Arabidopsis thaliana: one gene and its partners. The protein of the gene in region 1 interacts with the protein of each later gene in a pairwise test. Each region holds a gene or a part of one and is shown in the gene's direction. Other genes may lie near its edges. The genes, in order: AT5G46710, ATU2AF35A, AT2G18090 and AGL36.

Region 1 (7,887 bases):
TCCATTTATCCATTATATTTTGTTATTATGCTCGATAATAGTTTTGTTAGCTTTTAACATAGGATACAAAAACCATGAAAATTAAAATACAATCTTAAATTCATATTTTTTACCTTCTTGTTTTTAAGTATATCATTTATTTTATAATTTATTGTTATCCATAATTCATATTAACCAAACGTTTTCATAAACTTGATTTTGTTTTTCCTTATTTCTCTCTTTTTTAATTAGTTTAGCAAAAATGAAAATGAAACAGAACATAACTTTAGCTATTTTCCTAATCAATGTTTTCAGGTTGGTTTGTTTTGGTTGCAACCTAGAAAATTAGTTTCTTTAGCAAGAATATTAAATTGCCACCTACAAAATTTGATTGCAACATACAAAATTAGTTATTAAAATTGTATTACATCAATGAAGGTATTAGTTTAAACACAACTTCCCTTTCAGGTGATGCATGATAGGAATAGTTAGTATTGACTTCGCAACTTAGCTTTCCTAATTAATGAATTTAAATAGAAACATCAACAAAAATCAAACACTAAACACAAAAGGGTATTGCGTAATCACTCATCTTTAAACCTAGATTTGTGCAGTAATCTCCTCCTGATTTGATTAAATTAGTGAGCAAAACATAAATGTATTAGGTTAAATTCTCCCAATTAAGAAGCTTATCTCTCTTTGTAGCTCTAGCTCAACGTACTATGCATACAAGGATACAACATCGGTCCGTTGTTTGCATCACATTCTTTCCAACTCATACTTATGAGTAAGCATATAACAAAAGTCATTAAATACGCATTTTTGTGTATAAAAGCATAAATGATGTAATAGGAATTAACTTATACAAAGATAGCTTTGCATCACTGTCACATTTGTGTGAGAGGTTAGGTTACCGGATAATTAATTTTGTTATAGTCAGATTGGATATCATTAAGAGAAAAATGTTACAACTAACAATATAATAACGTGTAATAACTAAATAAAAAATATAATATTGCTGAATTAATACGCTTCTTATTTTTTTTTTGTTAAGAAATTATAATAACGTTTTTTTTTTGGTGAGGAAATATAATAACGTTTTGATCAAAAGATATAATCAAATAATAATATCCCCTATATATTAATAGAGAAATGCACTTAAGAAATTAACTTTTAGCTATCTTGGTATGTACGCAGATGTCATATTGACGTATCGCAATTAGAGCAATTCTTAACAAACTTGATTCATTATCCATTATTTCTTAATTTACTTACAAAATTTTTCATTATTATTAGATATAAATATCTCAACAACATAAAAATAAAAAACAATTTCTAATTAAAATTAGTAAATAATTAAAAACTAAACTCTAACTAAAACAACCTAATAATTAAGCAACTAATATTTCAGAACTTAATATATAACTACCTTCATTTTTTTATATAAACATAAAAATATATGTTAACAAAGATATTAATAATAATCAATGTATGGTAACAATTATTTCTATGTAAAAAATTGTTGGTTCAGATAAAATAAAAAGGTATATTACATTACATTATACACAAATAAACTTCAGATTTTAAATAATAATCCATAAATGTTCTAATTTACTATAATACATTTATTTAATAATCATTTTATCTTGTACATAGTGCGGAAAAACTATCTAGTAATATAGTATACGCTCTTTTACATAATTAGCTGTTGATTTTCAAAATAAAATAACTAAATAAAAATACGGAAAAGAAAGATCAAATCAAAACGTGAAGGTTGATGATATTAATTCAGCATATATTTTTTTGGTTCAAAAATACTAATTCAGCTGAAGTAAGAAGCGTATATTGGTCAATACTATTTTGCGCCATTGTCAGAATGATTTGTTTCTCTTCCCACTAAAGAATTTTTTTCTCCAGCAAAAGATTCATTACAACCGATAGAACAATACCTAAAAATAGAAACAAGGTAGTGCAAAGTAAGAAACAGCAAATTGATAAATAGCAATATCTTCTTCCACACTGAAAAACTCTTGGTTTTTACTCTTGGTCTTTTTCGCCATATCATATACATCGTAGCATGGAAAACATAACGAGCAATGAAACTCTCCATTCGATCTTGCCACTGACCCGAGACTGTAGCAATTAAAACAGACCAGTTTGTAGAGTATTTGGCCTTGTAAATCTTTTTTGCTATGTTTTCTCATATTTCTGCTGCAAACCAAATTCATATATTTTCTGTACCGATAGTTTTTGTTTTTTTTTTAACCAATTTCAACTATTTTCTATTTCGGTGACAAATTTTTAACCCGAATAAACCAAAAAATTGATTACACCGATCTAAATAAACTGAACCGACTAAGTTTATGCATGAGACATAGTGTTTTGATTTTACGAGAATTTATTGATATGGCGAATGATAAAAATATATATTTTTAATAAAATGCTAAAATCTAGTTTTTGTAAATTGAAGACCTTTTGTCAAATTTTGATTTTAACACTAAATCAAATGGTAGATATGAGATATCAAATTGCAATAATGGAGCAATAACTTTCTAAACACAATAAATATACTTTTTTAAAAATATATTAAAATATCAGAACTTTTCAGCAATGGAAAATGGAAATAGTTATAAGTCTCTCACAACCAATTAATGTGATGACTATATAATAGTTTATAATACATACTTTTTGTGAAAAGAAAAACCAAAAAAGGAATAAAATTTGACGAAATTGATTAATATTTTTGGTGGAAAAATAATAGTGAAAGAGAGAGAGATAAGACCAAAGAAGGACAGAAAGATATTTTTAAAATACCAAAAAAAAGGAAATAATCAAATAAAATTAGAAAATTCCAAGAGGGTTCCTTGAACCCAACGCTTCTTCTTAGGCTCGGGGCTGGTTCGGGATTAGGTTCGGAAATATTATACATTGTCGACATTGGTAGGATAAGTAGGACTCTTTCTCATTGCTTTTCGCTTCGTCTTCTTCTCTCTAAAACTCTTTCTCTGCAAGAAAACCAATCTCTCTCTCTTTCACTTTCTTAAACCCTTTATCTCTCTAAAACCCTCCTTTTTAGGTAAAAAAGTTTTGGTGCTGACTCAAAAAAGGTTGGGTCTTTTACTGCATTTTGAAATGGCGATTGAAGATTACGAGAACCCAAATCGAGAAATCAAACCTAAGAACAGAAGATTCATGGTAAGTCTAACCATAAACCCTTTTCTACATTATCACATTGTTGAAACTCTGTTTTCTCATTGTTATATCCTCTGTTTACATTGTATGCCCTTTGTGTTCATACGAATCTTCTACTCCTTATTTTTCGATTCTAAGATATGGGTTTTGATTGAATTGAGATTTTCCACTAGAAACAAGAGAGTTTTGTGGATTTTCCCTAATTTTTGTTGTCAGATGGTCAAATTCGAGTACTTATTGAAAATGCTCTGTTTTGGTGTAAAGAACAATACTTAATTTTCTAATGTCACAAAGAACAATGCTTGAATAATGTAGTTGTTAGATTAGGGTTTTAAATTGGGGGAAAATGTTGAAGAAGAAGAAGAATCTTGTGATAAAAAATTAGGATCTTTATCGAACTAGATTCACGGCTTAATATTCGATTCCGTACTTATCGCCCTTCAAATTTGCTTCTGTTTTTATAAAAATTTATAAAAAACAGAATATATTCTGCAAGACGAATTTGTGGATTCATTATTATCTTTGGTTGCAAGATTATAAAATAAACCATTAGAGTCTCCTCAAGTCTATGTAAAGGAGGAGACTTTTTTGATAATGTATAAGACAATGGTGTCTCTGGTAGGTTAAAAAGCCAACTGTTTTTTTTTTTGTTTTTTGAGTTCTTTTGGGACAATGGCTCATGAGTTATGTTGTGTTTGCAGGAAGGAGAGAATCAGTGGCCTATATGGCTCAAACCTTTACTAAACCAACACTTTTTTGCTCAATGCAAGTTTCATGGACACTTACCTAGAACCGAATGCAAAATGTATTGCTTAGACTGTACCAATGACTCGTTTTGTTCTCTCTGTCTTTCTGAACACGAGAATCATCGTACCATTCAGGTGTGTTTCATCTCTGAATCCAAAGTTCTCGTATTGTTTAATTCAGGTTTTGAATGTTAAGAAGTTGTTGGTTTGCTGCAGATAAGGATATCATCTTATCATAATGTGACAAAGGTCGATGAGATACAGAAATACTTAGACATATCAAGCATTCAGACATATGTGATCAATAGCTCAAAGGTTTTGTTCTTGAATGAGAGGCCTCAGTCTAAGCCTGGTAAAGGTTTTACTAATGCCTGCATGGTCTGTTATCGTGGCCTTGCCGAAAACTGCTTCCGCTTCTGCTCTATTGGCTGCAAGGTACATTTACCTACTTACACTCCAATTATCTTCACACGTTAAGCATCCATTACCTCCCTTGTTTTGTGGTTACTTCTAGTTAATTACAGTAGAAAAGTTTGAAGCTTTTGACTTGCTAAAATATTGGAAAGAGTCTTTCTTCTGATAAACTTCTTATCTGTGTTTTTGTGGTGATTGAATCAAAAGGTTGCAGGAACATCTGGAGTCTTCCAGAAGAGAGTGAAGCATACAACGAATGACTCAGATAATTCAAACAACAGTTCTGGAGTGGAGAATAACAGTTCTGGAGCAGAGAATGGTAATTCAAATCTGCAGAGTCTCAGTCCACCTACACCTCAATTTCCTCCTCGTTCTCTGCGAAAGCGACTAAGGAAGGGAATTCCTCACCGAGCTCCATTTAGTTGAGATTGTGATCAAGAAAAAGAAGAAGAAGCTTGTGTTACGTAGTGCTATGGATTAGTCAAACAACTAGTAAGTGTATATATATATATACAATATCTTCTTGTAAAGTTTTGGTGTGATGCAATGAGACTAGACAGTGAGTGGTTTATGGTGTTTTTATGACTATTTCCTTGTTCTAAATTTTGTTTTTGATTAGATTATATGACAAAAATAGATAATTAGTTAAGTTTCACAAACCCAAATCAAAGATAGATATACAACATAATCTTCCAGTTACAACGAATGTTCAGGTAGTTCACACAAAAACATACTACAGGGGCCAAAACGTAGAGAAACTAAAATACAGGAATCCAGTAAATATTAAAATTCCTCGCAGTTTTGCCACTAAACTTCTCATCTTGATCAAGTATAACCCTGCTTGTACTTCCTGAAAATATCCTCAGTTTCCGCATTACGGAATGCGCAGCACCCGATAATGTAGACGATAATCAATCCGATAAGCGCCAAGAGTAGAAAGATATCCGCTTTTAACCAATCTACCTTAATATTTGCGAGCAAGCCGGCTTTACAAGAATCACAAGTGTAACACAAAGTGTTTTGGTCATTGCTCCAATTTAGACAATCCATATCAGCAGACATATCTATGGGACTTATCCAATAAGTAGGATTAACAAATGTGAATCCACATTTTGTTGGGGGCTTGCAGCAACCAGACTGAAAGTAAAGAAATGGGGTTAAATTTAAATAATATAAAATATTGGGGCCAAAAAAGTAGTTCGGCGTGACTGATTAAGTGCACATAGTGGAAGAATCTAGAAAGTTGGGACGTTTTATATTATTTTATTAAAAGGTTAAACTTTTCCAGTTTTTGGTTCCCACAAAGCCTATAATAAGCTAAGAATCATTTCTAATTTATAATTTCATTACCAATCCACCTGTTCTTTTCATGGCCATTCGATTTCCCCCTGTACTTTTTATCTATTCAATTTACACCCTAAATTTGAACTCGATGTAATAATCTTCAACTGAATTTTCAGCTTTTTTTTCTAATCAAAAGAATATATTTCTGAGTCTTTTAAGCGACAAACCTAACAAGCAAAGCACCAATTCTATCTACATTTCATTACCACCCCTTTTCTTTTCATAGCCATTAAATTTTCACCCCATACTTTCTCATATTCATTTTACACCCTAATTTTCTTCCACTAATTAACAAACTTAATGCAAAAACTAATTAACAATTACAAGCAACAAAACAACAGAGAAAAATTGAAAATGTATTTGAATAAAATGGGAAGAGGATACTTACTTGAATGGGATCAAGATGAGCATTGAAGAAATCTTGAGCCAAAGTGTATCTCTGATTTAGTTCAGGGCAAATGGTAGTTGTACTCAAACAAGTACGAATCCTTTCCCATTTATAAGATCTCTGAACTCTTCTACGTAACCAACCAGAGAAATCTTGAAGACTATACTCAAGATAAGCTCTACTTGGTTCTGGATGACCAGAGCCTCTTATGGTAACCATGTAAATAAATCCGACAAGGCAACCCAAAAGTACAATGAGAATAAGCATGGCGATTAAGTAAACAACAAGAAGCCATGTGATTCTCCAAAACCCTCCAATGAAACCAGCGAGACCCACTAAGAGGATTAAGACTCCGAGGATTATTACTGGCCATTGAAGAAGCTTGACGCATGAGTTTACTGTTCCTATGGCTAGCCAGATTCCGGCGCCGATGACCGGAATGGAGAGGAGGACGGTGATGAAGTTTATGCAACCAATTACATTGTTGCTTAAAGGCATCTTTTTTGGGAGAGATGAGAGTTTTAACTCTGTTTTTGTGTTCTTGAAATCTGTTTGGTTTGAAATAGAGAGAGAAATAGAATTGAACTTAAAGAGAGACAGAAAAAGAAAAAGATTCACATGTGTGAAAAGTGATTAATGTTTTATAAATATGTTTTTGGTTTGATGGGATTTAGGGTAATGGTAATAATTGAGAGAGAGAGACAGATTTACATGTGTGAAACTGAATAAAGCTTATATGAAAAAGAAGTAACTATTTGAGAAAAAGGTGGATTTATCATTTCTTAAATTAGGTATATTGACTTTATCTATCTTAAAAGAGAAAACAATCAAAGCTATATATTATTACACTTTTGAAAGTATATTTTAAAATTAGTGTATTGGTTTTCAATTTTGATTACCAAATGTGAGTACAAGATAATGTTGATTTAATGAGTTAATCATAAGAAAATTTTGGGAAGATGAGTAAATGACACACAAATTTACAAATACGCTAAGTGTCTAGTTTTCTTATGCTCTTCTTATCATTACTGTATTTAAGGTGAGTAAAAGATAAGTATTTAATAAATTAAACAATATAATAATAATTTACACACATATTTCTTAATTTGAAGATATCTAGATAGTTAAATTTCATTATTTTTCAACATTTCGATAACATTTATGCTTTTAGAAAATTATGAACAGCTTATAATGATTAAATTTAAAGCTTAAAAACTAACAATTCGCATAAAAAACAATCTTCGAAAATTAACCAGAAAAAATCTCTAGTAAGAATTGCAAGAAGTAGGTGAACAAAAAAAAAAAAAGAATTACCAGAAGCAATAACCGATCTAGCATTCTAAAGGCTCAAAACATTCGTCTCTTGTTTTTTTTTTTGTTCTCATGTGTTATTGAAAACCTTTGCGTTTATGTTAGATTGGAACTTCTACATGAACTCACATAAGTCTACTTTTCCGAACTTGGTTATACACGAGAACTTCTACGTGAACTTACATGTCTATTTTTAATACTCAATCACATACACGAGATTTTGATTCAAAAAATGTCATCCGAACTCGGAAACCTTATAACTACACAAACTCTTTATTACTTGCATCTTTTCTTCTAGGACACTGAGACGTGAGAGAATAAGTCTTCACCGGTCGAGATACTAGACTAGAAAAGGCACCAATAAGCGATACCCAAATCCAATTTCACAATGATAAAATCCATTTATTGGTATCAGTGGCGCATCTTCTCTAGAATGTATTCATAAGGTAAAATGGTAAACCAGAAATTGTCTATTTACCGCATAATCTGTTTTTTTTTCTAAAAAAAAATCCT
Region 2 (7,629 bases), on another chromosome or scaffold:
TGCTGCTAAATATTTCCACTTCGGTTTCTCACTCGGTGATTTTGCAGACAATAGCGACTTCCAGTCTGTTCCTCGCTTGCAAAGCTGAAGATGAGCCATGTCAACTGTCCAGTGTCGTTGTAGCGTCTTATGAAATAATTTATGAGTGGGATCCTTCTGCCTCAATTAGAATCCATCAAACTGTAAGTGTATACATACATCTATGTATTGGTAAATTCGCACTGTGCATTTTGCTAATTTATTACATGTTGCTCTGCCTGTAGGAGTGTTATCATGAATTTAAAGAAATTATTTTGTCCGGGGAAAGTCTTCTGCTGAGCACAAGTGCTTTCCATTTAGACATTGAACTTCCCTACAAACCTCTGGCTGCGGCTTTGAATAGACTGAACGCTTGGCCTGACCTTGCAACAGCTGCATGGAATTTTGTGCATGACTGGTAAAGACCCTTGTTAATAATATCTGCCCGATTTTTCCCCTACATTGAGTTTGAATCTTATTATGCATTGTGTGTAGGATTCGAACCACACTATGCTTGCAGTACAAACCCCATGTTATTGCAACAGCCACTGTGCACCTAGCTGCTACGTTTCAGAATGCGAAAGTAGGCAGCAGGAGAGATTGGTGGTTGGAGTTTGGAGTTACAACTAAGCTATTAAAAGGTTTGCTGTTCAAACTCTATTTTTTCCTCTGGTATTATTGCAGTCATTTGATCAAGTGAGATGTAGTGTTTCTATAATGTTAGCGCTAGGAATATGTGGTACTGTAGCTCCAGCTCATGTTAGGTTCTTACCCTGTGCACATATTGAGTTTGGAATTAGGTAGTGGCCTGAACGAAGAGATGTGCTGCTATTGATTTTAGCGGTTGATTAAAAATAATTGGATGTTTTCATTATGGTGACAGAGGTAATCCAGGAGATGTGCACACTGATAGAAGTGGACAGAAGGAGGAATATGCCACCTCCACCTCCACCTCCAAGAAGAGAGTTAAGTTGGGCAATACCTGCAGCCGTAAAGCCGGTCCATATGGCTAGAGCTTATCCGTTTCACAGCTACCCTTTGCAGTCCTATAGACAGGCTGGCATCTGGTGAGCCATTGTTGAGCAGCATGAAGATGTAATCTCTCTTAGAGTCTTGAGTTGGTTTAGCAATAAAAGATTTCCGTAGAGACTCATGAGAGAGGCAGTGTAGCATTATATAGAGATCCGAGTGAGGTGCTTCTGTCTAAGTTAAGCGTCTCATGTATGACCAAAGTGGATTCTCTCGAGATTCTTGGTCTCTGTTCTCGATAGAGAGAGATTATGTATAGAAGTGTCCCATTCACATGTTATAATACTAGCTGACTTTATATCGTTTGTATATCTGGAATCTATGTTTTTGGTTTCTTTAAAAAGTTTAAAGTTGTTTTGATTTTGACTAATTCTCTCATTGTTAAGTAATTTGGTTTTTGATGAAGTGCTATTAGGTCTGTGTTGAGTTGAGACTTGAGACGAACACAATCATCATATGATCAAGCTTATACCGATCGGATAAGTAATTAACCGGTTCAATTAACTACACCTAGCTTATACCGATCGTATAAACCGGTCAAGAACCAAAACCGCTTGGTTTCCATTCTAGACCAAACCGGATTCTAGTTTCCATTATTATTATCTTTTTTATCGGATTAAAAATATAAATCCTTATGTCAGGAGATCCCATTCTCTGTCTCTCTGTCTTTCTCCCCCAACTCGCGAACAAAGCAAACCCTAGATCATCCATCGGCGAGTGAGACGGCAGCTCCTCGTCGGTAATTCCTTCCACCGGCGGCGACCACTCACCCTCAGATCTCTCAATCCCACTCATCTCTGTAACATTCTGTACGCTTTCTCTCTCTCTTTCTTCGCTTTTGTGATCTATTACGGCTCGGTCTCTGTGCCTCCCAGCTCTATTTTGGAGCACTGCTTCGTCTCTGTGTTTATTTGGCTCCTTTGTGTGTTTCTCTATCTCTGCTTTTCTTTTGTATTGCTCTGTTTCCGATTTTATATCCATATGTCTCTGGTTATTTGGTTATATCTATGTGTGATTCTTTGTTCTTTTTTCCATTGAATTCAATAGCTGACTAAGATCTCTGCCTTTTATCTTCAATAGTTGCTCAATCTTTTCGCTTTCGTAACATAATTTAGTTTCTTGTTGATGTTTTTGATATCTACCAATCTCTTTTCAATTTATGTCTATATGTTGCTAAATATCTTGTTCAATGACTGATTTCTTAAACTCAGGGTGGAAATTCTGCCATGGCGGAGCATTTGGCTTCAATCTTTGGTACTGAGAAAGACAGAGTGAATTGCCCTTTCTACTTCAAGATTGGCGCTTGCCGTCATGGTGACCGGTGCTCGCGTCTTCACAACCGTCCTACCATCTCCCCAACACTCCTTCTTTCAAACATGTACCAAAGGCCTGACATGATTACCCCTGGTGTTGACGCTCAGGGCCAACCACTCGACCCGCGTAAGATTCAGGAGCACTTTGAGGATTTCTTTGAGGATCTTTTTGAGGAGCTTGGAAAGTTTGGCGAGATAGAGAGCCTCAACATTTGTGACAACCTTGCTGACCACATGATTGGCAACGTATATGTTCAGTTTAAGGAAGAGGATCAGGCTGCAGCTGCTTTGCAGGCTCTGCAAGGTAGGTTCTATTCAGGACGTCCCATCATTGCTGATTTCTCTCCTGTGACGGATTTCCGCGAAGCCACGTGTAGGCAGTATGAAGAAAACAACTGCAACCGTGGTGGGTACTGTAATTTCATGCATGTGAAGCTTGTTTCGAGGGAACTAAGGAGAAAACTCTTTGGGAGATATCGGCGATCATACCGCAGAGGAAGTAGAAGCAGGAGCAGAAGCAGGAGTATTAGCCCCAGGAACAAGAGAGATAATGACCGACGTGATCCTTCTCACAGGGAATTCAGTCATCGGGACAGAGATCGCGAGTTTTACCGTCATGGAAGTGGAAAAAGGAGCAGTGAGAGGTCGGAGAGGCAAGAGAGGGACGGTTCAAGGGGTAGGAGACAAGCAAGCCCTAAACGAGGAGGGAGCCCGGGTGGCGGGAGGGAAGGAAGTGAGGAGAGGAGGGCAAGGATTGAGCAATGGAACAGAGAACGGGAGGAGAAGGAAGAGGGAGGAGCATAAAAACAGTTGTTTACTCAAATCACAATTGCTGCTATGTGGTTTCTGCGTCTGCTTCTCTGCGTTTATTCTGAAATCGGTAAAATCTGGTGATGGATTTTTCATTTGGCTGTTCTAATTTGGAACTTGAAATGAGTGGAATCAACTTCTTTAGATTATAAAATGTTTGGGGTTACTTTCTTGTAGTTTTGATTAGGAAAAACCGCTCTGTCCCCTTGTTATTGATTTTCACCAGTGTTCTTTAGAACTTTGTACTATCTTCTGTTGGTTAAAACTTAAAAGAGTTCTAGTTTAATTCGAAGTTGTCTATTGTTCTTCAATGCTTGGGAATACTAACGAGTTTCTGTGTCATGGTTCAGTTGTGGCACTAATTCGGGTCAAAGCACCTCAGAATTTTAGACAAAGATAAGGGGCAAACACTTTGGGCCTTTGATTGCATTGATTTGTGTTCCAAACACGTCAGAAGTTAAGTCTTTTTCTAAACCAGTTATCGAATGGGTTAGTCTTGGTTGCCATTTTTCAAACATACTGGCTTCCAATTGGTCATGCCAAATATGTAGCTTACTAGACCTATATACTTTCCAAAATTACTTCATAAGCTGTTTGTCTAATTCACGCAATGAATACATATATGCATAAAATACTCCATATGAGTAAAAAGATGTATAATATAGCGGAATATATAACAGAAGTCGACAATGCAATATACATCAACCCTAAACCATAAAATCATGAAGGTCATTTTGGCTTGTAGGCGTCGTCGAGTCCCTCTTCAGTGATCGTTGTGGTTCTTCTGGACAGAATATTCAAATGGTCATATAACTCATAACTCCCAAACGGCCAAACCATTGTTCTAATTGTGATGACGAGTCAAACCACTAATCACAATAAATTAATTACTTTTTTTTTTGTCCCACACATGTTCACAAATATATGTTTAGTTAAAAAACTCAGAATTAATCAATTACAATGCATTAAAATATCGCTACCACCGTCACACCACCCCAATACATCCGTCCGATCTAGCATCAACACCCACAGCCCATCCCATTGACACGGCGGTGTCATTTCTAAAGCATCAAACAAAACATGTCATTGTTTATTCTTACTTTACATTGACTGAATAGTCTGAATTAACATAATATATATATATATATATATTTACGGAATTTTATCATATGAATTCTCAGTTATGGAGATTAGTAGTTCAATAGATTGGCCACGTGGAGAAGTCTTTGCCGTCTTCGCTTGAGTGGATATATTATAGTAATAAAACCCATACGATATCTTGTTAACTTTTTAAAAGTTTTCTTACATCAAAAATATACAAGATATCAAAGTTCAAAAATTAGAAATCTGAAAGATCGTAGCTACATAGTGAAAGATGGATTGTTGAACAGCGTTATAAAGTCACATTAATTCCATGTAATAATAATACCTCAAAATCTCAAATACAACACATGCACGTGTCTAGCTTGCTGCGTTTCTATATACATTATGCAACTGAAAATCGAATTATAATGATACTAAAATGAAATATATGATCTTAAATTTGTTATTGTTAGGAAAATATAAAGATGAGGAATGGGGAAAGTCTGTTGGACAGTGATGCCCTAAATTTGAGAAAGCATATATTCCCCTGCTCTAAAGCCTTTGTCCTCTTCTTAGACAACTTTAAAATAAATAATAATGCTTTCCCATACTTTTTAGGACCCTCCTTTTAAGGCCTTTGTTCTCTACTTTTTTCTATTTGACCCCCAACAAAAAGAGATTATCTTTTCATTTTTTCGTAACATAAAAATAATTTATGATTGACCAACTACGACTATCTATCTTTAATTTCTTTTGAAATCAATTTAATCATGAACCATTGTCAGTACATAGCCTTAGCATCGCCTTTCCTGTCAAAGGATGCAATTTTGTTATGTTTTGGTAGTTTAATTGAAAACTCGTCATAGTAGACAGATATAAATATTTCTCTTCATCTCTTTTTTGTGCTTATGTTATATGAATCAAATGAGTATCCCATTAAGTAAAAGAGAATGAATCAAAGCAGTTATAATAATACAAAAAAGGAAGATTGTAGAGTTATATATTATTAAAAGTTCAAAACATTGAGAAAAAGTAAATGTAAAGATCAAAGCTTCAAGTGTTGAGAAGCATGGCACCTAGGTGGTCTAGTAGACTTTGGTTATAAATTTCAAGTAAAAGAAAAAATGATCAGCACACGAATTTTTTTGTGCCAACCAGTAATAGCAACTCAATGATGTGTACACTAATTGACAAACAAAAACTGAAAACAAACTTTGCTTTATATACCATTACTATTAGTATTACTACATCTAATTAATACCATTGATATTTATTACTTAAATCTTCAAATATTATTTTCTATATATTCCTCTACATATTAATTTATATTTATCAATTTTATAGTTTAATAAAATCATAAATAATTTGAAGCAAAGACTTCGTTAATTATACTTATAAAGTGATGTGTTATGAAAGCGATTGGATGATTGAACCCTGATTGGTAACAGATGTAAAACAAATTTAGCTCCTACACCTAATACTATACTTTTGAAATTAATACTTAAATTTCTTACAGAACTTTTAAAAAGAGACACAAAATATAATAGATTAACACAATATAGTTTTTTAAGATCTAAGGTCAAGTTGGATAATGGATAGAGGGAGCCCATCATTTCTTAATCTTCCGGTACATATGGTGTATCTAAGTGGTCATCAGGTAGTTTGTTATAAATGAGACCATGGACGTAATTAGTGCAACCTTAGTTTCTATATTTTGCATATTGTATCTATTAGTTTGGCTCCATATAATGATTCCAAGGACAATCAAATATACAAATAGACACATTACAATAAAAATTTTATTGATGCAAGTAGATACTCTGACAATCCGCGTGGTTAGTTAGGTATAGGGCTTGATGACACTCTAGAATTTCAGGACGTAAATTCGAAGAGACTCTATTTTTGATTCTCTTGACGAATAATTAAGTTGTGCATGGGCCATTCGTGCTCGGGTTAGGAGTTATTGTACATGATAAGCTTGTTCAACAAGAGTTCGTTCATCTTCGAGATTAATCGAATTAGATCCAGATTACTGCTACAAAATAAAATAGATATTGGAATACATAAATTTGTTTTAAATATTAGAAACATAACAAGAATATAAAGAAGGTGAGATATGTGAGCGTGCAAGTAGAGACGAGAAAGAAACATAAAAAGTGAAAACAAAGTTTTTCCCATACTCTTTTTGATCTCAACACATTCTCCAACGTGCCTTTCTTCTGATGTGAGTCTTGTTGCTCTCTTTTTATATCTGGTTGATCTATTTTTCATTTCTTTTATACTTGTGAATTATTATGAACTAACTAATTGATCGATTAAGTTAGTTGTTTTCCACACTATTAATTAGTTAATTAATTAAACATTCTTTTTAGATGCGATCGAATTGGTGACAGCTTTATCAACAGTACAATACTCATTTTCGTAACTTATTGCACTTTTGAGTCACACTAGATAAGGAATCATTTATGTATAAAATGAGTTCTTCGCTCTTCTAAAAGCGTTCATTTCAACCAAAAAAAAAAAAAAACAGCCAACCATAACATCAGAATATGAAGCATGTTCTTTCCAAAACCAATAACACAAATTACATTGCACGACACATATTATGTAACAACCAATAAAAGTTCGCCGCCTCTTCTATATGCTAATAATGACAATCAACTAGCACCTTGCCAAGTTATTATCTCTTGCATAATTTTTTTGCTCTATCTCTACTTACTATTGATTGTAATAGTTATCCCCTCCTTTCATTGAATGTCTCTGATGGTTATGGAATTGAAATTATGTCGGACTTTCTCTAGTGTTCCGATATAGTGACTTCGACCTTAAAACACGCTTATAAGTCAATACATGGCAGATATCTAGAAATATCGTTTAGCCGGAGAAACATAATTTTTTAATTCAAGGGAGAACTCTTTAATTAATCAAAATGAAAAGAGAAAATTCAAGTAAATTCATTACCCTTTGACTCAAAACACATAGTTTTAAAGTCACTTATCAATATTAAGCCAGAAAACTAAAGCATTTAAAACATGATATACATTGATTTCACATTTCAGTATATCGTAACTTAGTTCAGCTTCTTCCGGAGGGACTTGACGTCATCATGACAAAGAGTGATGAATGGTTTCATGTCATGTACTCCTTTGTAAATTATTTTGGGTATTTATTTATTTTTTCTAGCTGACCTTGGTGGTGGTTCCTGCAGCTTCAACAATTATTCCACTTGGAAAAAGTAAAAAAAAAAAGCCTTGGAGATCATCATTTCCATCTCTAGTAGCTATACGTAACTGCCTCCATTTAAACAACACAAAATGAGTTTCGTTGTTGGCTTTCCAACTGAGTAACCTCATAACCAAACTTTGTTACTTGGATC
Region 3 (9,601 bases), on another chromosome or scaffold:
GAGAAACACTTTTGGAGGAAAAAAAAAATATTGTTAATTTTAGCAAATTAAAATCACCCCTTTCTCTAACAATTTCTTATTTAGTCATGTAAAAGGTGGACTGTTGAAGTATGGGGCGGAGAACAAACGTCTAAATATTTAAGGTTACAATGATAAATACTCATTCTTGTGCCTATATATATATATATATATATATATATATATATATATATTACTTCGTAATTTCGTATAATAGTTGATGATAAAATAAATTACTTCGTATAGTCATAGAGTGGGTTCTTGTCAATCCATGTCGGAGGAATAAATAAGTAATTATACTGTTGGGATCTCATTATTTTATGTTTTATTATAAAAAAGCAAGAGCGTTGAATTTAAATTCGTTCTTGTTGCACGAATGTTCGATTTCTTTTCTGATTTTCTCCCAAAAGACAAGTAATATATATGGAGAAATGATTTTCATTTGTTTGTTAATTTGTATGTTTAGAACTAAATATCGTCTCTCCGAAACGCTTGATAATCCAAACCACTCCAAACAAAAAAAACTTTTGGGAAAAGAAACAGGCAATAGGTGCTAAGATGAGGAAGCATAACCACAAACAAAGACTGCAATTCCTAAATTATATCGACAACAAAATAATTGCCAATGCTCAAGGTATTGCATGGATCTTCCTCCCCGTTGTTAGCTTTCTCTGCTCTTGTTGCGGAGTTGGTAATCTTTTGGGTTGCAATGGATACAGTCTCTTCTGAAGTCGTTTGGATCGTCATGTTTCGATCTCGTTTGTTTTCTTTGGTAAAGTTGTGTCTTGCATTTATGTATTTTTTTTGGAGTATTTCTAGGTTTTCTTGTCTTGTTATCTTGTACAGTAAAACCTCTATAAATTAATAATGTCGGGACCGAGAAAATTTATTAATTTAAAGAAGTATTAATTTATGCAGAGATTTTACAAATTTTGTAATTTTTTACAAAAATGTGATCTAAAAGGTAGTTTTTCTATACAATCAATAATTTTTCTAAAAATTATTACGAGTAGAAAACCATTATTAGATTTAAAAACAAAAAAAAACTTTTTTATACGTAGTAAAATTATTAGAATTTAATTTTACAAAGAACTAATATAAATTAAAATAAAACAATACGAAAGTCATATTTTACTAAGCTTTACATAATATATATTCATAAATATAAATATATATATTCATAAATTTATACAGTTATTAATTTAAAATATTGATGGGACCATATATTTACATAGAATTTTCAAAAATTTTATTATCTTATTAATTTATCGATTTGTATCAATTTTTACACTAGTCCCAACTCGGAACCAGAAAAATTTATTAATTTATAGAAGTTATTAATTTATCGAATATTAATTTATAGAGGTTATACTGTATTTCTCTTTTATTTGGGTTGTATTTCTTCTTTTTTTACTGAGTTTGAGATTTAATTTTAATAAAAATTATCAGTTTGATAAAAAAAAACTAAAAATATAATTTTCTTTATAAACTAATAAAATTAAGTTTCTCATTCTAGCTAAAAGGCTTAGCTTAATATTATTATGAATATTATTCATCTTTCCTCTTTCAAAAAACATATTTTTCATCTTGATTATCATCGGTTGCAACCAAAACGAAAGGCTAAGTTTCATATTCATTTTACTCCCAAACCAAAACAAATAGAGGTAAATAAATTTTTCGTATTTCGTACTGGAGCTTTAATGTTAATTTTACCATTTGTTTTCACCCAAAAAAAACCACCTGAATTTCTTGAACAAATTCACAAGGAAATTAAATTTGTTTTCTGGGTTTTAATTTGTAACAAAATATCACCTGGTTTTATTAAACTAGTTCCATTAGTTAAAATTAAAAATTGCCGGTATTGTTTTGTTAAATATTTTATTTTGATAAAATCCTCTGATCTCTATCATTCGAAGTCAAAGCTGTTTTGTTCACGTAAAACTGCATGTGTGATCCTATATATTGTATATTGATAAATACGTTTAACAATGACAATCTAGTGAGATAGCTCATGTCACATCGACCTATGATCAATGGATTACTTCAGTTTGATAATATGTTTGTATGTGATCACGAATTATATATTATATACCAATCGATTTTTCATTGTTTTATGTACTATAATTTGATTTCAGCTCACTACATATAATATTTAAACGTGACATGTTCATCTTTTTTCGTCGTCGATCGACATATCAACTATAAGATTAGTCGGTTGTACGTATAAATCTTGACCTTTTACCATGGATTTGTCCTATAAAAGCTTACTAGAGACTAGAGACCAGAACGCATTAATATTATTAGGTCTATCTTCTATCACTTCATAGTGTTTCTTTAACACTCATGTTTTGCAAGTGTCGTTTTGTACTATTGGAAAAGATTATTGTTATAAAAAAAAAAATGAAACAAAACTCTAAAAAATCAGTTAATCTTAGTTATAAAACATTATCCTGCTAGAAATCATTGCAACTTTAATAAAGTATTGAGTCTTGAATCGTTATGTCCACTTCGTTTATTTTATATAAAAGTTTGTCAACTAATTAATAGCTGATTTTTTTTTTCTTTTAAGAGAAAGAAGATCTCGAAATGAGAATTAAAGATAAGATATATGGTTAGGTAGCGAGTAGAAGACCAAAGCAAGAAACTACGACCACGACATCTTGCACATAAGAAAAAAAAAAAGTAGTTCAATTTCATTTTCGCTTTGGTCCACTTTATTATTTAACAAAAAATAATATCTAATAAATTACATTAATATAACAGTCCGTGTTAGACTAAGACACGAAGCCTCCCCCACTAAATCGACGCAAATAAAAATAAACAAATGGTGGGGTTAAGAGTTTAATTCGAGCTGTGGAATTTTTTTATAAATATACAAAAATAATAATATTTAAAATAATATATATTACGATAACAAATTTTTATGTCAATCAATTATATTTTAAGAATCTTCTAAAATCAAATATTATTGAACTAATAATTTGAATAATAATTTTAATTCCACTATTATTGAAAATATTCATATCATTAGTTTTTAAGGGTGTATAGTGAAAAAATTCCTCAATTTCAAATATGTTAATACAAATTTCCCTTTTTAAAAATTATCATGAAATTGGACAAACTATATTTATATTGAAAAAGATATATAAACTTATACAACACAAATTGTAAACAAAAATAACATGATGTTCTTCAATAAAATTATAAATCATCAAACCTAAACTCTAAAATTGTCAAAGTAAAAAACCTAAATTGACGAATTCTAATTTATTATAGCGAAATTCTCTGATGTTTGTATGATGTCGAAGTTGATTATGAGAGATTTTGTAAAATTTTGTGTTTTAATTTTAACCATAGTTTATCTAATTTTTACGACAATGTAGAAAGACAGGATTAAGATATTTGAAAAATTGAAGTTTTTTTTTATAAAATATATAATTGAATAATTTCTTATAGAATTTTAGAAAAAAATTTTAGATAAAATTAAAAAACACAAATGTAATTCTTTTATGTAGAATTTGGGGAACCAGACTACAACAAATCATAAATTTCTCTAAATTTACCTAAAATCATATTAAAAATTAATAAATCATTATGAATCTTAAATTACTTAAAATATAAATTTGAAAATACTCCTCTAACTCAGAGATCAATTTTTTCTAATGCCTCGTGATTTTTTTGCATCTTGTAGCTTAGTCACCTATATATATTTTTAGTGGTAACAAGATTCTCTGTTAAAAAAATAATAAAAATTAAAAATAATAATAGTTTATTTTATGGGAAAAGACGCGAGTGGCTCCCACCAGCCTCAACTTTGCCCACGTGGAACCAGCCATATGCGCGGCGTTTAGACAACAAAAAAAAAGCGTGTTGTTTCTTTCTCTCTCTAGAAAGTCAAAAAAAGGAGACAGACAACCAAACACTGCCTTGTCACATCTCTCTCTCTCTTGCTTTTGGCGAGTAACGAGTAAGTCCATTTTCCATGTGCCCACTGTGTCTTCTCTCCTTACACGCCACCATCTCCTCCACCTCCTCCTCCCTCCCTTCTCCAATTCCCAATTCTCCTCCAAACCCTAGGGTTAGGGTTTCCACGATTGCTTCACCTTCCCTTCTTTTTTTAAAACCTCAGATCTTCCGCTTCCTCGTTCTTGTCTTTTTGTTGAGCTGAGAAGCAAAAAAAAAGTGTTCTTTGGCTTCACGAGGAGCCAACAACGAATCGATGCCGGAAATCGATCTTATGAGAGTCGATCATTGTGTTTCCGATGTTAAATTAGATGATTCTTCTTCTTCTCCTCCGGGATTCTTCGATGGTGGTGGTGTTCCGTTAGATTCGGATGTGAAGTTAGACGAAGAAGATTCCGATTCTTTGAAGAAGAGAGGTAGACGTGGTCGTCCGCCGAGAATTTTAGCTAAAGCTTCTTCGCCTCCGATTTCGAGGAAGAGAAGAGAAGATGAAGATGTTTGCTTTGTTTGCTTCGATGGTGGTAGTCTTGTTCTCTGCGATCGTAGGTTAGTGAAGTTTTGAGCTTAGACAAGTTACTCTCCCAGCTCCATTACATTCCTACTTGTAAAAATAGAAACTTTTACTTGTGACTGATGATGATTCTTTCTTAATTTGTCAGGGGATGTCCAAAGGCTTATCACCCAGCTTGTGTTAAGCGTACTGAAGCATTCTTCAGATCGAGATCTAAATGGAATTGTGGTAAGTTGTTCAATTTTTATCTGTTTTCTCTTCTTTGAGATGGTTCATAGTGATGAGGATGGTTTTTTGGTTTCAGGTTGGCACATATGTACTACTTGTCAAAAGGATTCGTTCTACATGTGTTATACTTGTCCGTATTCAGTTTGTAAGAGGTGTGTTAGAAGCTCAGAGTATGTAGTTGTAAGGGAGAACAAAGGATTCTGTGGAATTTGTATGAAGACTATAATGCTTATTGAGAATGCAGCTGAAGCTAACAAAGAAAAGGTATGAGAATCCTGTCTACATTTTGTTACTTTCTCTTACTCGCAGTACTACAAGGTTATTTGTGGAACTTGAGGTCTGTTCTTGTAATGTCGCTTTGTTTTTTTAATGTGGATTCTTTCTTCTAGCTAAATGTATTACATGTACATTTTCTAGGTTCAGGTTGATTTTGATGATCAAGGCAGCTGGGAGTATCTTTTTAAGATTTACTGGGTTTCTCTTAAAGAAAAGCTAGGTTTATCGTTAGATGATCTTACCAAAGCAAAAAATCCATGGAAATCTTCTTCTTCTACTGCCGCTAAGCGAAGAACTACTAGTCGGGTTCATGAAAAGGATGATGGAAATTCTCCTGGGGTTATGAAAATACGTCGTGCTAAAGTAAGGAAAATGGATGCTGTTTCTGTGAGTAATTTGGGTCCTTCTTTGGATTCAAACTGTTCTTTGGGTGACAGACTTCCACAATTGACTAGTGCTGCTACTTGGGCAACCAATGAGCTTTTGGACTTTGTGGGGTATATGAAAAACGGTGATATTTCTGTCTTATCAAAGTATGATGTCCAAACTCTCGTGCTAGAGTATGTGAGACGGAATAATCTACAAAACTCTCCTCAGAATTCTGAAATAATGTGTGACTCCAAGCTTATGAGATTGTTTGGAAAGGAGCGAGTGGACAACTTGGAAATGTTAAAGCTTCTTGATTCTCACTTCATCGATCAAGTTAGGTCTCCAGTCACAGATAATTCAGCCGGAGGAGTCACTGAAACTATGTCTTACCAGGTTAATGCGGGCAGAAGCTGTGATAGGTTAAATACATCTGAACAGCATCAAGAAGGGGAATCACAGCAATTGAACGGGCACAGTATTCAAGTTAGACCTTCCAGTTCTGATAGCAGAAACCATGCAGTTGTAAAACCTGACACAAGTGCCACTCTGTCCAATAAGCCAATTGATGGTTTGGATACAAATATGGTATGGTTATATGGAGATCCAGATGGGAAGATTCATGGACCATTTTCGTTATATAACCTGCGACAATGGAATTCAAGCGGGCATTTCCCACCAGAGCTGAGAATATGGAGGTTGGGTGAACAGCAACACAGCTCCATACTTTTGACTGACGCATTAAATGGGCAGTTCCATAAAACAGGGTTATTACAGAATCATTCTATCCCCAAGCAGGAAGTGACAGCTACTATAGCTAACGATCAAAACAGGTCTGTGGCTGTTCCTAAAATAGAGAGTAGAATACTTGACTTCAGCCCCAACTCAGTGTGCACTGACCAGAGTGTTATTTCTAGCAGTAACAGTGTCATCACAAGGAGCTCGGATGTGAGTAACAAAAGCGGAAACAATTGTAGCCACGCCGTGCCATTGGATTTTTCTCTTTCTAATGAAAGGGATACTGTGGGTTTTATCTCTCTCTGGGACAAAAGAAAAGTTGAAAGTTCTTTGCTTGTACAAAGCCCAATAAGCTGTTCACTCTCGCTGGCTACATTACCTAGAAACTCAAACTGCTCTCTGCCACCACATGAAAGATGGAGTGCTGGTCAGACAGATGGAAACAGTGCAGCAACGACTGCTTGCAATCAAAACGGTAGTCTTAGCGGCTCAGCTGAGAAACAAGTCACGGCTACAGTCCAGTCATGTGGACAGAACTGGAATGCTGCAACTCCAAGCAGTGCTTCAAATGTGTGGGATTCGAACTCGGGTTTGACGTCTTTCCCAGACAATCAAGAAATAGACTTTTTAGATCTCTTTAGTCCAACTTTCAAATTCAACTTTGCATCTACTACCACTGATTGGCAACCCATTGTGGCTGGACCTGACGAATGCGACGAATCAGTCTCAGATCTTTTGGCAGAAGTGGAAGCCATGGAGTCCCAAAAACGTCTTCCTTCTCCAACTTCGACATTCCGTGGTCCTGAAGAATTATTAATCCGGCACTCAATAAACGATAGCTTCAGTCCCGCAGAAGGACATAGCCCAGCACTAGATGTAAGCAAAGGTGACTCCATGAGCTCCACAAACGATCTTCAAATGCATTCACGATCTAACAGCACCGTGCATTTTTAGTCGTGGGCTCGGGTTCACATAGAGAGAAATCATAACCTGGGGCACAGGTTACCATAGATCATCCAATGTCCTAGATTCGTCTGATCGATGGTGGACTATGCCCTCTTTCTTCTCTTTTTTTTTGCAGGATTATTACAGAACATAAATAAATGGCAGAATCATCAGCAAAAATGAAAAAAAACGAGTGGTGCATATGTAGAAGATGTTTCTTCGCGGTATTTTTGACTGCACCCATTGTTTTCTTCAGTATTTAGGTTTTGTAACGTTGTCCTGTGTTAAGATTTGCACAGACATACCCAACTTCTGTATCTTTTTTTTTTACATTGTTTGTACTTAGGAACAAGTATAAAAATGGGAAGAAATTGTTGTCCATGGATGTAATCAAAACATTTGTAGGGATCATATCATCTTATTATTCTATATATATGATAATGATAGTGTAACGTTTCATTCTTTTTGTTTTGAATGTTTCAAATCTATTTATATCATGACAAGTGTAGGCTCCAGTTTATTCTACTTGTTTTTGGAAAATGAGACGAACTCTATTGATCGTTTCTGGATTTGGAAACTTTTTGTTGTTTCTTCGATTTCGTTTTTGTTGATCTGAGTTGATGGTGGAAGCTACGTCAAATTTGACGCCGTCGCAGAGATACGCGGCAAGCGCTTTGTTTGCAATCGCGCTTAACCAAGCGCAGATCAGCCAGTCAAAGCCATTGGGAATCCCGGCCACCGGAAGTACCGGAGAGCCAATCAGCAGCGACAGTGATCCTATCTCCGATGAGGCGGATCTCTGGGTCCACGAAGTTTCCGGCCTCCTCCGTCCTGTTCTCAGGTGATCTTGAAATCATCTGGAATAGTCATGTTCATATGCGTCTCTGTGTGTGTAATGTATACATTTTGAGCTGTCTCTGTAATTTGCTTTCAGATGTCTTCAGATTGATTCATCAGCTTGGCATGGCCTTGAAGAGATAGCTGCTTCTACTCAGGCTAAGGATCACATCGGTGCGGTATGATTAATTTCTCTCCGTATTTTGAAATTTCGTTGTGAATGTTGAGGAGCTCTTCTTTATTGGATGTTACTTTTGGTTTATTGTAGTTTATCAAGTTACTCTCAGAGGATGTGAGTGATGATGATGATGATTCTAGTGAAATGGTGGAGAAAGAGACCGCCTTAGCTAAAGCTGCTGATGCTATGGATCAAAACATTCGAAGCAGCTCTCTATCTGTGGAATCTAAGATGGAGAAACATGTGGAATTCGAAAACGAATGCCGCGACAAGTATTCTGTTCCCGAGGCACAGTCTGGTGCTGAGGTTAAGGAAACGGAGAGCCACGGGGAGGGTGAAATTAGAGATGGAGGCCACAATCTTGGGATTGTTGAACATGAGAAACCTGTTGGGGAAGTAGCATTGCTTAGCCATGAGAGAAAGATAAATGTTCTTTACGAGCTACTATCTGCTTGCTTGGCAGATAAACATGAGGAGAATGAGATATGTACACGGCGTAGGAAAGGCTATGATGCGCGTCACCATGTTGCTCTGCGGTTACTTGCTACTTGGTTTGACTTTCAGTGGATTAAAATGGTCTGTTTGCTTCATTCATTCAAATTATTTTGTAAATTTTATGCTACCACATAGCATAGCAACCCTATAGTTACATGTTAGCTATCTTGTTGAGGATTTAGGATCTGATGACATTGGGATATTTAGGATTCTCTGTTTTGTGCATTTGGATTGACCTGAGAATCAATTTCTGTATTTTCTAGGAAGCAGTTGAGACAATGTCTGCATGCTCTGCCATGGCATTGCAAAAGTCAAGTGGAAATAAGGAAGAAGAGTCTTTGTCACCAAATAGTGAATGGGCTAAGTGGAAACGTGGAGGCATAGTTGGAGCGGCTGCTTTAACAGGGGGTACATTGATGGCCATCACTGGTGGTATGATGTCTTCTAACTGTTAATATCTCTTCCAACGTTTAGAAAATTAAGAGTATGTGTTTGGAAAATGCTAATTCTTAATCTGTTTTGATTACATATTATGTGAAACAGGATTGGCTGCTCCAGCAATAGCTGCAGGGTTCGGTGCATTGGCTCCAACTCTAGGCACAATAGTTCCGGTAATTGGAGCCAGTGGGTTTGCTGCAGCTGCTGAGGCTGCCGGAACTGTTGCTGGTTCTGTTGCTGTTGCAGCATCTTTTGGAGGTAAATAAAAAGTAGAATCAGTTTTAGATTCCTTTAAGAAATAAAATGAATCAAAGTGATGATAATTGTATAGTTCTTAGTCTTCTGTTTTGTTTCTACATGTGTTCATGAATAGCTGCTGGAGCTGGGCTCACTGGGACGAAGATGGCTAGGAGAACTGGTGACATTGAAGAGTTTGAATTCAAAGCTATTGGAGAAAATCATAATCAAGGAGTTAGTTTTAAATTCCTGCTGTTTCATGTTGAAATCTCTTTGCTCTGCATTGATCTCTTTGTTCTTTCTTTATTTTTCTTGTTGGTGTAATAGCGATTAGCGGTGGAGATCTTAGTTGCTGGCTTTGTTTTAAAGGA
Region 4 (7,077 bases), 9.6 Mb from region 1:
TTGGTGGATAAATTACGAGTTTACGTCTTCTCAATTTCATCTCTTGTATATTTAAGAAATTTGGAAAAATATTGATTTTCTTAAATTGGTTTAGATGTGTTGGTTAAACTTAAATTGATATTGGTTTAGAGATTTTATTTGGTTTAATTCAATTTTACAAAATTTGATGGGTTAATTGGGTAAACCATTGAAACCATTAACCATTACAACCCAACTCATTTTACTCATCAAACCAATTGACCCAATAACTCATTTGACCCATCAACTCATTTGAGTCAAAAATTTCAACTAATTAGGAATCATGGGTTGAGTTGAGTTGAGTTGACCCATGAATTCTGACCCATTTTGACACCCCTAATCATAACGCTCGAAGTTAAAAACATAGACCATGTCTTCATTCTCATTTTATCAACTCTATAACGTTGCTTATAAAGTCATAATAGCCTAATAATCATCATATTAAAGTAAAGAATTTTAATTATATTTCTTATAATATAATAGTCTTCTAGGTCACTATTCACAATCTTAATTATTTTAGAACAAATAATTGTTTGTTAATAAGTTAAGAAAACACCAAAAATTCATATATGTACTTCTAAATTATTTATTTAATACATCTAAACTTGGGTTCGCAAAAATCGCAACTCTTAAAAAACAGAATTCGTTCTTTCAAATAGTTTTCAATTTGACATTTACACAAATCTCTTTTCAAGCGGATAACAAACCTCTACCAAAACTTTTCTACAATCTAAGATATTATATTATTGAAATTGTATGCTTTTATCTTGATAATTAATAAAAGCATTCCAAAATTCTGAAATGTGGGTTCCAAAGCTATGATTGGATCATATTTTCTTACCAATTCTCTCATGTCTACATAAAGCTATTTATTTTAGGGATATTAATAAGATCAAAAATAGGGTAATGCCAGCTAAATTACTCTTCATTATTAGCTGGTAAAATTTATTTCTAAAAGTGCAATGAAAAATATATAATATCGGGTCAATGCCCCAAAAGATATAATATCCACATGATTTTATAAATTATAATTTTACAAATAAAAAAAAAGACAAAAATCATATTTATGTATTAAACTCTTGATTTTACCCAAATTATGCATATATTTTCTAAATAAAAATAATTTTCATAAATAATTTTTTATATGTCATTATTAATAAATAAATACATGTAGTCATATTAATGTATTAAACTCTTGATTTTACCCTTATATGTAGTCCATTTTTAAAAATACTCTTTCTCTTGAGCAAAACAAACAAATTACCCACATCTAATGAGAAACATGTAATTTATGAACTGAAATTTTCCCGCCGAATTTATTTTTTCCCTGACAAAAAAAAATTCTACCAAAATATTTTTTTTTCCGCCAAATTTTTTTCCCGCCATTTTTTTTTCTCTGTAACAAATGTTTTTCCAGCTAAAAACATGCATTTAAAAATCTTTGTAAAGGTTTTTAAAAGCTTTGTAAATTTGTTAAAAACCCTTGTAAATCATTTTAAAACCTATTAAAATCTTTATAAAAATTTTAAATATATATGTAAATACTTTAAAAACCCGTTTTAAAACCTTTTGTTTTACATTTTAAAACCTTTTACAATAATTTTAAAAGATTTACAAGAGTGTTTAAAAGATTTACAAGGATTTTAAAAACATTTGTAAATGTTGTAAAAATCCTTGTTAAATCCTTTAAAACCCTTGAAAACTATTTAAAAACCATATAAAAATCTTTTAAAAACCCTTAATAATTTTTGAACCATTTTAAACTCTTATGAACCCCTTACAAAATGTTTTAAAAACCCTTGTAAACCATTAAAAATCTTTTAAAATCTCATGTAAACCCTTTAATAATTTTTGAACCATTTTAAAGTTCTAGAAAATTATTTTAAAAATCTTTGTTAATCTTTAAAAACACATGTAAATCTTTTAAAACCCTTTTCAAATCTTTTAAAATCACTTGTAAATCTTTTAAAACCCTATAAAAATCTTTTAAAATCCTTTGTAAATCTTTTTAAAACCTTTTACACTTTATAAAAATCTCTTAAAATCCCTTATAAATATTTTAAAACCCTTTTACACATTTTAAAAATCTATTAAAATCCATTGTAAATCTATTTCCTGCGAAATTTGTTTTTTGCGGGAAAAATCTTTTTTAAAACAAATATTATGGCAGAAAATGTTTTTTTGAAATTTTTTGGCGGAAAATTTTTTTCAGAATATTATAGGCGGGAAAAATCAATATTTCATTTTTTTACCTAAAACATATTTTAAATAGGGGTAAATAGTCATTAAAAATTAAAAAAGGGTATAAATGAAAATAACAAATAAGAAAGGGCAATACTGAAAAGGGATTGTGTTGAAAGGGCATTCATACCAATTATTCAAAGTTTTTGGCGTTTCTGTGAGATGTACTTTGCATATTTTCCAAGTTGTTTGCCCATTCTAAAAATTTATTTGTATGATTCAGAGTACATCTTTAAATTACTGTAGATAACAAACTTTCTGAAATTTACTTTAGATAACAAACTTTAGAGTAATTTCTAGCTTACCACAATTCTATATACATTGACAATATATTACTGTATTTTAAAAGTACAATCACTTAAAACTATTGCAAAACTTCATATTTTAAGAACAAAGTAAGCTAGAAATTATTCTTAGTAAAAAGAAACAATGAGAGTAAGAGAAATTAATTCGCCAAAATAAAAACAAAACTTAGAAATACAAAATATTATATTACATGCCCCCTCGTATTACATGGATAGATTTTTTTCTTTTTTTTGTCATCAGATATTATTTAGGATCAGACGTACCAAACTTTGGATAAGAAAAAATATTTTTATATAGATAATAATGAATTACCTGGTCAATTAATTGATAAGAGATTTCCTGGATGTTATTTAGAATTAATTAGTCCACCAAAGTGATAAGAATCCTAGTGTCTATAGAATCACCTTTCTTTGCTATATAAACATCCTTTGAGCAAACAAATTAAACAAACCACACAAAACAAAAAAAAAAAACAAATTGATGGGGATGAAGAAGGTGAAGCTATCTTTGATAGCTAATGAAAGATCAAGGAAAACATCCTTCATAAAGAGGAAAGACGGGATTTTTAAGAAACTCCACGAGTTGTCAACTCTGTGTGGTGTCCAAGCTTGTGCTCTCATCTACAGTCCATTCATACCGGTTCCAGAGTCATGGCCGTCAAGGGAAGGTGCTAAAAAGGTGGCTTCAAGGTTTCTGGAGATGCCGCCGACAGCCCGAACCAAGAAGATGATGGATCAAGAGACTTACCTTATGGAGAGGATTACCAAAGCAAAAGAGCAACTAAAGAACCTGGCTGCTGAGAACCGAGAGTTACAGGTTAGACGATTTATGTTTGATTGTGTTGAAGGCAAAATGTCCCAGTATCATTATGATGCAAAAGACCTTCAAGATTTGCAATCTTGTATAAATCTATATCTCGATCAGCTTAACGGAAGGATCGAGTCCATTAAAGAAAATGGTGAGTCGTTGTTGTCTTCCGTCTCTCCTTTTCCTACTAGAATTGGTGTTGACGAAATTGGTGATGAGTCATTTTCCGACTCTCCTATTCATGCTACAACTGGGGTTGTAGATACTCTTAATGCTACCAATCCTCATGTTCTTACGGGCGATATGACTCCTTTTCTTGATGCGGACGCAACTGCGGTAACTGCTTCCAGTAGATTTTTTGATCATATTCCATATGAAAATATGAATATGAGTCAAAATCTGCATGAACCGTTTCAACACCTTGTTCCTACTAACGTTTGTGATTTTTTTCAAAATCAGAATATGAATCAGGTTCAATACCAGGCTCCTAATAATCTGTTTAATCAGATTCAACGAGAATTCTACAACATAAATTTGAATCTGAATTTGAATCTGAATTCGAATCAGTATCTGAATCAACAACAATCATTCATGAATCCGATGGTGGAACAACATATGAATCATGTTGGAGGGCGTGAAAGCATTCCTTTCGTGGACGGAAACTGCTACAACTACCATCAACTACCATCCAATCAACTACCAGCCGTTGATCATGCTTCCACCAGTTACATGCCTTCCACCACCGGTGTCTATGATCCTTACATCAACAATAATCTCTAATCACAAAAGAGGGAGAAGAACTAGTCTAAGTGTTCAATTGTTTGTATTTGTGTTTTCTTCATTTCGAAAGACAAAAACTAATGTTGTTTATTAATAATGGTTAAAGGATCTCTTTTTAACTTAATTATGTATTTTGATTATTAAGTAATGTTTTGCCCCCAAAAAAAGATTATTAAGTAATGTATTTGCTCACCGTAGTGTGGGAAACTTTAATTGTAGAATTTTATTTCGAAAATTTAAGATGTGACTGGTACAATATTTAGACGGAAATTTTCAATTGAATTCTTTTAGGACCCATACATAGAGAATAATTGTTTTCCCCAGCAATTTAAAGTAAGAACTATTATTCTTTGAATCAATTATCGATTTGCCATTTTTTGGGATGGTATCTGTGGATTTTGTCCTTTTCTGAATAGTTTGTAGATTTTGCCTTTTTCACACTACGAAAATATGATTTAACATGTGTTTTATTCGTTATGTTTTGGTTTAGTCGGTTGTGCTTGTTCTTAGGATTTAATATTTTGTATAAACTACGTATTTTTACCAAAAAAATCGGAAATACATACTTTTTTTAGTGTTAGAAAATGGCATATCCATAAGATTTTAGTAAAAATTACAATTTCAAAAAAATTCTATGAAAAATGGCAAAAGCAACAATAATCTCTTATTCTTTTCGAAAAAAATTATTTGATAACAAAAAAAAAAGAACTACTCTTATTCAATGTTAAAAAAATCGTTAGGCGCTAGTTAGGCTTTCGATAGAAGCCTTGAGCCTATATCGATCAGTGCCTAGGTCAATTTTTTAAACATTGTTCCCATTCTTTTGGGCTCAAAAAAATTAGGTAGAAAATTTGTTCTTCCAAATTTTGCACCAGTTAGACTCTAAGGGGGTGTTATTGGTTCCTAATTTTCATGACTTTCCATGACTTTATTTTGTGAAGAAAAATGTAGAAAGAAAAAAAGTGTGGGTAGTTTTTAGTCTTTCCATTATAACAAAAATGTATAACTATATAAGATAATACTAGAGAGCTGTGTAAATCACCTAAATACTGTTTTAGGAAAAAAATATCTTTTGATAAGAAAAAACTTGCAAAAAATACATCTACACACCATCACAGCATTGATTACAGTATATATGTGTATGTGATAATATTCAGCATAAAATCTAACTGTTTTCTTAATGTCAAAACAAATATATCATTAGTCTTTTATATAGCCTGCTCCTGCATATTGTGAAGATTTAGTTTTTCTGGGTTTTCATTACATGTTTGTTTGCTTGTGCAAATATTAATCATCTCGTGTTATTTTAAATTATGTTAAAAAATCGAGGGTAATAATTTGATAAATTTTTGTTTGTATTTTGTTATAAAATTATTAGTAAATTTAATTAGGTTTAGTTGCAAATAGTGCTATGATTTATGGTCTCATTATTTTTATTTTTTCATTTTTTTTGTCCACAAGATCATTTTCATAAAAATGAAAAGCCCATTGAGTTATATAGATGATGAAAAAAGCCCAAACCACCAGCGTTTACAACTTCAATTTAAATTGAAGTCTATTTATCCTACTAAAATTTAAAGATAAGGACGAGATTAAAAAAGTGTTACGTGCGGTATACGTGTCCACACGCGAGAAGGAGATGAGATGACACAAACGTAGCTAGCCAAATCCACGATCAGCGCAGCTCCGCCGCCAGACTTCAGATCCACCACCGCTCCTCTTCTACAGCGCTGCCCGTTGCTAAAGTCGAGAGAACCCCATCGAATCCATCTTGAAGTAGATCGAGAAAAAACAAATCTTCATAATCTCAATCTGCTCCTATAGTAGGAAGCTTCGCCTTTGGCCGTAATAGGCCTATATCCATGGATAAACATGTGGAGATATTACTCTCGTATATATATAAGAAGAGTTGAGCTGACGGTGAACAAAGAGGATCTAACCAATAGCTGCGGCGATTTGAGTTTATGTATGTAGAAAGAAGAGAACAAAACAGATCCGATCTTAGTTGGAATTTTATTGTCCGAAACAAATACAGAGATGAACAACAACAAGTCACTAAACCTAAGCTATAGATCTAAGATATGATTTGGAAGAGACAAAACAAAGAAATCTATTTTACAATCTGATCAATGTCATAAAAAGAAGCTTTCCCTCTCTAAAAGATATGGCAGAGGTAAGGGAGAGGAGCGTGATTTAAGTACTCATTAAAAAACTCGGTGAGTGGGCTAATCGATCCTACACTCACCCTAAAGAGATTAGCCAAGTGATTAAGGCCCAAAACACCTCATAATATCCAAAAATAATAATTTGGTAAAGTTAACTATCACACCTTTCCTCTGACCACTTGGGCCGAAACTCAAATGGCTACGTTAAATTAAGAACTAATTATATAAATTTGGTACAACTCAAGATTTTATTTTTACAGTATGTAAACTCTAAGCATGCGGCACTTGGTTATTTGGGTGTAGTAATAATTATATAAATTAATACTCGATAGATTAAAATCTTTGATCCCTAATAAGTGTTTAAGATCATTTAATTAATAAATTAATAACTGTATAAATATTGAAATATCATAATTTCGATATTATTAATTTATAGAGGTTAAGCTTTATTAATTTCTAATTTTTTACTGTTATAGATTCACTAATTTTTCTTAAAAGGAGCATGTATATTCTCAAAATTAGTCGGATGTTAAAACGAAAAAAATTGAAATTGGGTGCTAAATATTAAAAAGAACAATATATCCATGAAACAAATTATCTTTCTTTTCTTTAGCCACATGTCATGAACCAAAATCTCTATTACATTTTTGTTGCTATTTGTAGTTGCTTCCATTAATATTCATACAAAGGTCGAACTTAACTCTGATTAATGATTTATTACATCTCTATAAAGTGGATACAAAGCTAGATGTCTAATCAA

What was found.
Region 2: the proteins of AT5G46710 (region 1) and ATU2AF35A interact in a two-hybrid assay, tested with the Arabidopsis thaliana proteins (one large-scale study listed by BioGRID).
Region 3: the proteins of AT5G46710 (region 1) and AT2G18090 interact in a two-hybrid assay, tested with the Arabidopsis thaliana proteins (one large-scale study listed by BioGRID).
Region 4: the proteins of AT5G46710 (region 1) and AGL36 interact in a two-hybrid assay, tested with the Arabidopsis thaliana proteins (one large-scale study listed by BioGRID).

What each region holds. Positions count from the first base shown.
Region 1 is NC_003076.8:18,949,709-18,957,595, reverse strand, and holds AT5G46710 (PLATZ transcription factor family protein), read left to right. Parts: upstream 1-2,903; 5' UTR 2,904-3,111; coding exon 3,112-3,174; intron 3,175-3,704; exon of another isoform or gene 3,705-3,857; coding exon of another isoform or gene 3,858-3,872; coding exon 3,873-4,052; intron 4,053-4,133; coding exon 4,134-4,352; coding exon of another isoform or gene 4,353-4,394; exon of another isoform or gene 4,395-4,538; coding exon 4,539-4,757; 3' UTR 4,758-4,993; downstream 4,994-7,887. Other genes in the region: TRN2 (Tetraspanin family protein), read right to left, coding at 5,157-5,468, 6,064-6,561.
Region 2 is NC_003070.9:9,612,879-9,620,507, forward strand, and holds ATU2AF35A (U2 snRNP auxiliary factor small subunit), read left to right. Parts: upstream 1-2,028; intron 2,029-2,258; 5' UTR 2,259-2,273; coding exon 2,274-3,164; 3' UTR 3,165-3,479; downstream 3,480-7,629. Other genes in the region: CYCT1;3 (cyclin T 1;3), read left to right, coding at 48-182, 264-436, 514-659, 902-1,089; AT1G27640 (uncharacterized protein), read right to left, coding at 1,585-2,028. UniProt on the Arabidopsis thaliana protein: Necessary for the splicing of pre-mRNA. Probably active at the 3' splice sites.
Region 3 is NC_003071.7:7,860,264-7,869,864, forward strand, and holds AT2G18090 (PHD finger family protein / SWIB complex BAF60b domain-containing protein / GYF domain-containing protein), read left to right. Parts: upstream 1-3,930; 5' UTR 3,931-4,237; coding exon 4,238-4,527; intron 4,528-4,640; coding exon 4,641-4,720; intron 4,721-4,796; coding exon 4,797-4,984; intron 4,985-5,137; coding exon 5,138-7,054; 3' UTR 7,055-7,557; downstream 7,558-9,601. Other genes in the region: AT2G18100 (transmembrane/coiled-coil protein (DUF726)), read left to right, coding at 7,666-7,886, 7,980-8,061, 8,151-8,636, 8,819-8,987, 9,099-9,251, 9,367-9,464, 9,558-9,601.
Region 4 is NC_003076.8:9,340,734-9,347,810, forward strand, and holds AGL36 (AGAMOUS-like 36), read left to right. Parts: upstream 1-3,051; coding exon 3,052-4,152; 3' UTR 4,153-4,278; downstream 4,279-7,077. UniProt on the Arabidopsis thaliana protein: Probable transcription factor.